Linked DNA regions of Macaca fascicularis. The main gene of each other region encodes a partner of the protein of the gene in region 2 in a complex. Links are inferred from orthologs where the notes say so. Each region holds a gene or a part of one and is shown on either strand. Other genes may lie near its edges.

The links.
Region 1: the proteins of ALB (region 2) and FCGRT are in contact, whole or in part, in a crystal structure (PDB 6QIO), measured with the Homo sapiens proteins. The link is inferred for Macaca fascicularis from reciprocal best matches to the Homo sapiens genes ALB and FCGRT. Residues at the interface, in NP_000468.1 of Homo sapiens: Arg105, Glu106, Thr107, Tyr108, Gly109, Glu110, Asp113, Asn133, Asn135, Gln441, Ser443, Pro445, Thr446, Glu449, Leu484, Leu487, His488, Thr491, Pro492, Val493, Tyr521, Val522, Pro523, Lys524, Thr530, Phe531, Thr532, Phe533, His534, Asp536; in NP_001129491.1 of Homo sapiens: Arg65, Glu67, Glu69, Gly72, Ala73, Val75, Trp76, Gln79, Val80, Ser81, Trp82, Trp84, Glu85, Lys86, Thr89, Arg92, Asn172, Lys173, Leu175, Thr176, Leu179, Phe180, His184, Glu188, Arg192, Gly195, Asn196, Trp199, Lys200, Glu201.

What each region holds. Positions count from the first base shown.
Region 1 is NC_088393.1:57,472,497-57,476,768, forward strand, and holds the start of FCGRT (IgG receptor FcRn large subunit p51), read left to right. Parts: upstream 1-1,181; 5' UTR 1,182-1,243; exon of another isoform or gene 1,244-1,271; intron 1,272-2,226; 5' UTR 2,227-2,240; coding exon 2,241-2,313; intron 2,314-3,934; coding exon 3,935-4,204; intron 4,205-4,272. UniProt on the Homo sapiens protein: Cell surface receptor that transfers passive humoral immunity from the mother to the newborn. Binds to the Fc region of monomeric immunoglobulin gamma and mediates its selective uptake from milk.
Region 2 is NC_088379.1:60,560,927-60,564,731, forward strand, and holds part of ALB (albumin), read right to left. Parts: intron 3,117-3,805; coding exon 2,984-3,116; intron 1,892-2,983; coding exon 1,794-1,891; intron 594-1,793; coding exon 455-593; intron 1-454. UniProt on the Homo sapiens protein: Binds water, Ca(2+), Na(+), K(+), fatty acids, hormones, bilirubin and drugs. Its main function is the regulation of the colloidal osmotic pressure of blood. Major zinc transporter in plasma, typically binds about 80% of all plasma zinc.

The DNA.
Region 1 (4,272 bases), on a different chromosome or scaffold from region 2:
GTATGAAAAAAAAAAAAGCACTGTAAAACTTTTTGTTCTGTTAGCTGATGCACGTAGCCCCCAGTCACGTTTCCCACACTTGCTCGATTTATCACGACCCTTTCACGTGGACCCCTTAAAGTAGTAAGCCTTTAAAAAGGCCAAGTATTTCTTTTTCGGGGAGCTTGGCTCTTAAGACGCGAGTCTGCTGACGCTCCCAGCTGTATAAAAAACCTCTTCCTTCTTTAATCCGGTGTCTGAGGAGTTTTGTCTGTGGCTCTTCCTGCTACACAACCTCCACCTCCTGGGTTCAAGCAATTCTCCTGATTCAGCCTCCAGAGCAGCTGGGACTACAGGTGCTCCACCACACCCAGTTAATTTTTTTTTTTTTTTTGAGAGGGAGTCTCGCTCCCAGGCTGGAGTGCGGTGGTGGCACGATCTCCGCTCACTGCAAGCTCCACCGCCTGAGTTCACCCCATTCTTCTGCTTCAGCCTCCTGAGTAGCTGGGACTACAGGCGCCCGCCACCACGACGGGCTAATTTTTTGTATTTTTAGTAGAGATGGGGTTTCACGGTGTTAGCCAGGATGGTGTCGATCATCCTGACCTCGTGATCCGCCCGCCTTGGCCTCCCAAAGTGCTGGGATTACAGGCGTTAGCCACCGCGCTCGGTCTAATATTTGTATTATTAGTAGAGACGGGGGTGTCACCGTGTTAGCCAGTCTGGTCTTGAACTCCTGACCTCGTGATCCGCCTGCCTCTGCCTCCCAGCGTCCTGGGATTACAGGCGTGACTCACTGCGCCCGGCCAGCAGAAGGATATTAAAGAGCACCTGCAGGACCTTTCTAACGGGATGTCGGGGGAAGGGCTTGAAGGAGGAACTAGGGAGGCTTCCATAAGATTTTGATTAACAGCCAGCGCTAGGGAAGGTCACAGGGATACAAAAGGGTAGGAGGAGGATCCAGAGACCTCCAAGTTGTGGACTTCGAAGGCATCCGGTTCCTTTCCCAGCTTTGTCAAGAATTCCCTGGGCGGCGGACACCCTCAAAATAAAAAAAACGGGAACCACAGAGAAGGGGAAAAAGAAGAACCACAAGCGTTTTGAGAAACAAACAGAGGCTGGGCCTAGGGCCTGGGGTGTGCCCTGCAACTGGGGGGGGTGGGGCTGGATGTTCTTGGAGTCAGGGAGCAGCAGCCTCCCACAGGATGTGAGAGAGGAACTGGGGTCTCCAGTCACGGGAGCCAGGAGCCGGCCAGGGCCGCAGGCAGGAAGGGAGCGAGGCTGAAGGGAACGTGAGCCGACCAGGCCCCGATTGAGGGAGGAGGGAAGGGCCTGGACCCCTGGGCCTGAGGGAGGAGGGGCTGGGGGTCTGGACAGTGCGTCTGAGGGAGGAGGGGCTGGGGGTGTCGACACTGGTTCTGAGGGAGGAGGGGCTGGGGGCCTGGACGCCTGGGACGGAGGGAGGAGGCACTGGGGGTCTGGACACTGGGTCCGAGGGAGGAGGGGTTGGGGGCCCGGACTCCTCGGTCGGAGGGTGGAGGGGCTGGTGGCCCGGACTCCTCGGTCGGAGGGTGGAGGGGCTGGTGGCCCGGACTCCTCGGTCGGAGGGTGGAGGGGCTGGTGGCCCGGACTCCTCGGTCGGAGGGTGGAGGGGCTGGTGGCCCGGACTCCTGGGTCCGAGGGAGGAGGGGTTGGGGGCCCGGACTCCTCGGTCGGAGGGTGGAGGGGTTGGGGGCCCGGACTCCTCGGTCCGAGGGAGGAGGGGTTGGGGGCCCGGACTCCTGGGTCCGAGGGAGGAGGAGTTGGGGGCCCGGACTCCTCGGTCGGAGGGAGGAGGAGTTGGGGGCCCGGACTCCTCGGTCGGAGGGTGGAGGGGTTGGGGGCCCGGACTCCTCGGTCGGAGGGTGGAGGGGTTGGGGGCCCGGACTCCTCGGTCGGAGGGTGGAGGGGTTGGGGGCCCGGACTCCTGGGTCCGAGGGAGGAGGGGCTGGGGCCTGAGGGACGGAAGGGGCGTGGCCGAGCTCGGGGCCGGGACTCTCAGCCTATCAAGTTTCTGTAATTAATTAACTAACTGAGATCCAGTTCAGGGGTGAAAGTTCTTCAGGTAGGAGGAGGGCATTGTTGTCAGTCTGGACCGAGCCCGCAGAGCCCCTCCTCGGCGTCCTGGTCCCGGCCCTGCCCTTGGTACCCCGGGAGGAAGGGGCGGGCCGGGGGTCGGGAGGAGTCACGTGCCCCCTCCCGCCCCAGGTCGTCCTCTCAGCATGAGGGTCCCGCGGCCTCAGCCCTGGGCGCTGGGGCTCCTGCTCTTTCTCCTGCCCGGGAGCCTGGGCGCAGGTGAGGGCCGCTGCGGGCCGGGGCCCTGCTGCAGGCGGGCGGTGGGAGGCGGCCCCAGGCAGGCAGGGGCGAAGCCAGCGGGACCCGAGTTCCCCGCGAGTCCCGGGCGCTGCCTTCTCCGCTCAGTTCACTTTCTCAGCGTCTCCTGCTGGGCCTGAGGCTGAGAACCACCTGTCGCTTCTGTGTCTCTGTTTCCCTCTCTCTCTCTGGGCCTCTGTCTGGGTCTCTGTCCCTTTCTCTCTCTCCCTCTCTGGGTCTCTGTTTCTCTCCCTGGGTCTCTGTCCCTGTCTTTCTGTCTCTCTGGGTCTCTGGGTCTCTGTCTCTGGGTCTCTGTCCCTCTCTCTCTCTCTGGGTCTCTGTCCTTCTCTCTCTCTCTCTCTGGGTCTCTCTCTCTCTCTCTCTCTCTCTCTGGGTCTCTCTCTCTCTCTCTCTGGGTCTCTGTCTCTCTCTCTCTGGGTCTCTGTCTCTCTCTCTGGGTCTCTGTCTCTCTCTCTGGGTCTCTGTCTCTCTCTCTGGGTCTCTGTCTCCCTCTCTCTCTGGGTCTCTGTCTCTCTCTCTCTGGGTCTCTGTCTCTCTCTCTCTGGGTCTCTGTCTCTCTCTCTGGGTCTCTGTCTCTCTCTCTGGGTCTCTGTCTCCCTCTCTCTCTGGGTCTCTGTCTCCCTCTCTCTCTGGGTCTCTGTCTCCCTCTCTCTCTGGGTCTCTGTCTCTCTCTCTCTGGGTCTCTGTCTCTCTCTCTCTGGGTCTCTGTCTCTCTCTCTGGGTCTCTGTCTCCCTCTCTCTCTGGGTCTCTGTCCCTCTCTCTGGGTCTCTGTCCCTCTCTCTCTGGGTCTCTGTCTCTCTCTCTCTCTGGGTCTCTGTCTCCCTCTCTCTGGGTCTCTGTCTCCCTCTCTCTCTGGGTCTCTGTCCCTCTCTCTCTGGGTCTCTGTCTCCCTCTCTCTCTGGGTCTCTGTCTCTCTCTCTCTGGGTCTCTGTCTCTCTCTCTCTGGGTCTCTGTCTCTCTCTCTGGGTCTCTGTCTCCCTCTCTCTCTGGGTCTCTGTCTCCCTCTCTCTCTGGGTCTCTGTCTCTCTCTCTCTGGGTCTCTGTCTCTCTCTCTCTGGGTCTCTGTCTCTCTCTCTGGGTCTCTGTCTCTCTCTCTCTGGGTCTCTGTCTCTCTCTCTGGGTCTCTGTCTCTCTCTCTCTCTGGGTCTCTGTCTCTCTCTCTGGGTCTCTGTCTCCCTCTCTCTCTGGGTCTCTGTCTCCCTCTCTCTCTGGGTCTCTGTCTCCCTCTCTCTCTGGGTCTCTGTCTCTCTCTCTCTGGGTCTCTGTCTCTCTCTCTCTGGGTCTCTGTCTCTCTCTCTGGGTCTCTGTCTCTCTCTCTCTGGGTCTCTGTCTCTCTCTCTCTGGGTCTCTGTCTCTCTCTCTCTGGGTCTCTGTCTCTCTCTCTGGGTCTCTGTCTCTCTCTCTGGGTCTCTGTCTCTCTCTCTGGGTCTCTGTCTCCCTCTCTCTCTGGGTCTCTGTCCCTTTTTCTCTCTGGGTCTCTGTCCCCTCCCTCTGAATCTTCCCTCTCCATAATAGATTCTTCTCCCTCCCTGGATATCTGTCCCACTGCAATCTAGTTCCCCGCCCATGTTCTCCCTTCAGCTCTGTCTCTGTCTGCAGAAAGCCACCTCTCCCTCCTGTACCACCTCACCGCGGTGTCCTCGCCTGCCCCGGGGACGCCTGCCTTCTGGGTGTCCGGCTGGCTGGGCCCGCAGCAGTACCTGAGCTACGACAGCCTGAGGGGCCAGGCGGAGCCCTGTGGAGCTTGGGTCTGGGAAAACCAAGTGTCCTGGTATTGGGAGAAAGAGACCACAGATCTGAGGATCAAGGAGAAGCTCTTTCTGGAAGCTTTCAAAGCTTTGGGGGGAAAAGGTGAGATTCGAATCCGGAGGGGCAAGGGGCTGGGTCCATGCTCCTGGGCCCCACTTACATGTGTGTGG
Region 2 (3,805 bases):
TATACTTAATATATAATATTAATAATATATTAATATATAATATTAATTATATTTAAAATAATATAGTATGCAATATTATATATTATTAATAACTAATTAATATATAAATATATAATGTATTGGTAATATATAATTAATATATAATATATATTATATATAATAAATATATAATATATATTATATATAATAAATATATAATATATATTATATATAATAAATATATAATATATATTTATATATAATAAATATATGAAATATATATAATATTAAAAATATATATATATAATCTTTGGGACCCTGGCTGCCAATATCACAAATACACATGCATACATGCACACACGCACACAAATATGCACACACACATTACTCCCTTCTGCTTATGAAAGCTAGCATTATCAATATCTAAAGGTAAAATTTTTTCATTATTAATTTATTATATTTTTTAAAGACTCACATAGTCTTCTGCACAGGGCATTCTTTTTGCTTCAGGAAGTTTACAACATTTGGCACCCACTTTTCCTAGGTTTCTTGAGACCTCTACAAGAGTTGGAGTTGACACTTGGGGTACTTTCTTGGTGTAACGAACTAATAGCCTGAAAAAAAGAAGTCCATGTGTTTTCAGCAAGGCAAGAAACTGTCTAGCATAGTAGATAAAACAGAGAACACTTGGCCGGAATCAACTAAGATGTTCCTATATTCCATTCATCATATTATCTCCATCTGCAGAGTAGTGGGTTAGTGGAGGGGAGAAAACTTTCTCCTGAACAACTAGTCAAACCTGGCTTTGAGTTCCACCTGTACTACTTGTATAATCTTAGGAAAGTGAGTTACCTACTTCAGTGACATTAATAAATTTATTAATTTCTTCTTTCAATAAAACCTGGAGAGAGCTTCATATATATCAGCATGTGCTAAACTTGAAAGATACAAGTAGAAAATGGAAGGAAATATATCTGACTCAATAGGGATAGTTCAAGGGTTAAATTAAAAGTAGTAAAGTATTATAATTAATCTGACATGGTACCTAATATATAATAATCATGTATTAAGAATGCCAGTCACCATTAAAAGTCAATCTATGTAATCTACTTGAGGAAAGAAACTATGTCTTGTTCACGGTTATTATCCCTAAAACCAATAATCAGAAGAGCACTATGTGTATGAGCCACACAATAAATATCTACTGTATAACATATCTCTTCTTGTTTTTAACCTTCATAGATAAAGTTCTATTGAATTGGGACATTAGTCCACAAGCCATTCTGTCTCTGTCTCTTCCATGGAGGGAAATTCCACAGAAACACAAGGTTTAACCATCAGACACTAGGTGCATCCCCCAAACAACCTGAATTTAATATTCAAACATGAATCTAAATTCATTTGTTACATTTTGTGTTCAGCTCACATATTACTTTTTGAGCGACTGCTATTCAAGGCCTACTACTTCCTGCTCTACTACTTCCTGCTCTACAAAATATTGCCATGTTCTATTTGCCCATTAACTATTTCTTAACCTTCAAGGGACATCCTCAGTTCGATATACCAAGATTTCGTATTTACCCTCCCAGTCTACATACTTCCAGTCTTAAGAGAACAATTTTTAGACTACATTCAAATATAGGCCTCTCCACCCCATCAACTATTTTATCTCTCCTCTCCTATCTTTCTTGACAAAGAGTGATTAGAAATATGTAATGTATTCTCATTCTTACAAGTTTTATGCTAGGTGGCTCATATATTAAGTCTTAAATAATTACGAATTGATCAAAAATCAATCAATAAAAATTACTTACGCATTCTGGAATTTGTATTCTCCAAGCTGCTCAAAAAGTTCACAATTTTGTTTGACTAAATTCTGAGGCTCTTCCACAAGAGGTTGAAATTCATCAAACTGAAACATAGAAGAATTGTGTTGATAGTATTATGCCTGAGGATCAGATGCAGGTTGTTTTTCACCCCTCTGGTCAGAATGATATCCTTTCTCCTTTCTACTCAAAGCCACACAAACAGATGACTATCAATGCCACGCTGTCACATTACATTCAAACGATTTATTTGGTGAGCTTGCATCATGTAAGTGGCTAAGAATATTCAGGCTCTGAAGTTCAATGACCAGTATTTGAGCCAAGTCATCTAACTCATTCTTCAATTGTGCAATTTTACTTACCATCTCCACATTTCAGAATCCTTATCCCTAAAAAAGGGCAAAGATGGTACTCATCTCATAGAGCTGCTCTGTAAACCAGTTAAGCTAATGAAATTAAACAGTGCCTTGCGTGTAATAAAAGTTTAATAAGTTATGGCTATGATTATACATATTATTATTATTAGTTCACCTTTCTAGTTAGATTCTGGGCTCTCCAAAATGAGAGATTTTACCTTGGTCATTGGTCGTGCATGGTGCCTGGCATCTAGTAGCTTCTTGACAGAGGAAAAAATGAGTTTTATCTGATTCTGAATAGTTTGGAAACCATTACATATGCTAGTGGGAACCCTAAAAGTCCTCCAGAACAGATTTCCTCTCCTAACTTAATTTCCTGTAGAACTACTCCTAAACATTCTCAAAAAGATTTGAAAATCTTCTAAAGGAACAGGTTCTATAATTTGCCTGAAGATACTAATTCTAGTACTTGATTAGTCCTGGGATCAGGTTAACTCACTTTACATCTAAGTTAAGTATCTTCTAATTAACAGTTAAATTTACTTTAAGTTATTTTGTTCTCAGGATTGTGAAAAAGAGAAAAAAAGATCAAAATTTCACAGAGATTGCTCTACTCAGATCTTTCTATTCTAGACTAGTCTAAATTTTGTTAATCATTCTAAGGCTACTTTTTCTATCATGTTTAAGATTGCAGAATTGAAACCATCTCAAGAAAAGATCTAAATTGCACTGTATATCTTTTTACATTCTTGCATTATTTTTCTTTCTCATTATTGGAATCATCAGTCAAAGAATAACATTTTTTTCCAACAATAAACCTACCACTTTGGCATAGCATTCATGAGGATCTGCAGCGGCACAGCACTTCTCTAGAGTGGCTTCGTATGCCTTGGCAAGTCTCAGCAGCAGCATGACAGAGTAATCAGGATGCCTTCTTGCATATTCATACAAAAACCTAATTAAGATGAAAATAAAATAGACTTTGTTGGACAAATGAGCACCAAAAAAAAAATCACAAAGCTAACCTCAAAAGTAACTCATATTCCAAAAGTCTTAATTTGACTAAACCCCATGCAGTAAAGCTTAGTAGCTAAGGACTTGGGGTCCAGAGTTAAAGTTACCAAGGCTCAATTCCTAGCTCTGCCACTTATATTACTGCATCACCTTAGGCAACTTATTTAAATGATCACAGCCTTCGTCTCCTTCTCGGTAGAATGGAGATAACAAGATAACAATAGTATTTGTCGGCTGGGCGCTGTGGTTCATACTTGTAGTCTCAGCACTTCAGGAGGCAGAGGCAGGCAAATCACCTGATGTCAGGAGTTTTAGACCAGCCTGACCAGCATGATGAAACCCTGTCTCTATTAAAAATACAAAATTAGCCAGGCATGGTGGTGCGTGCCTGTAATCCTAGCTACTCGGGAGGCTGAGGCAGCAGAATCATTTGAACCTGGGAGGTAGAGGTTGTGGTGAGCCAAGATGGTGCCATTGCACTCCAGCCTGGGCAACAAGAGGAAAACTCTGTCTCAAAAAAAAAAATGTTATCTGTCCCAGAAGGTGGATTATGATAACTACATGACATAATCTACACAAAGCACACACTGCTTGGCACATATGAAGTCTTTGATAAATGACACCTGTTAT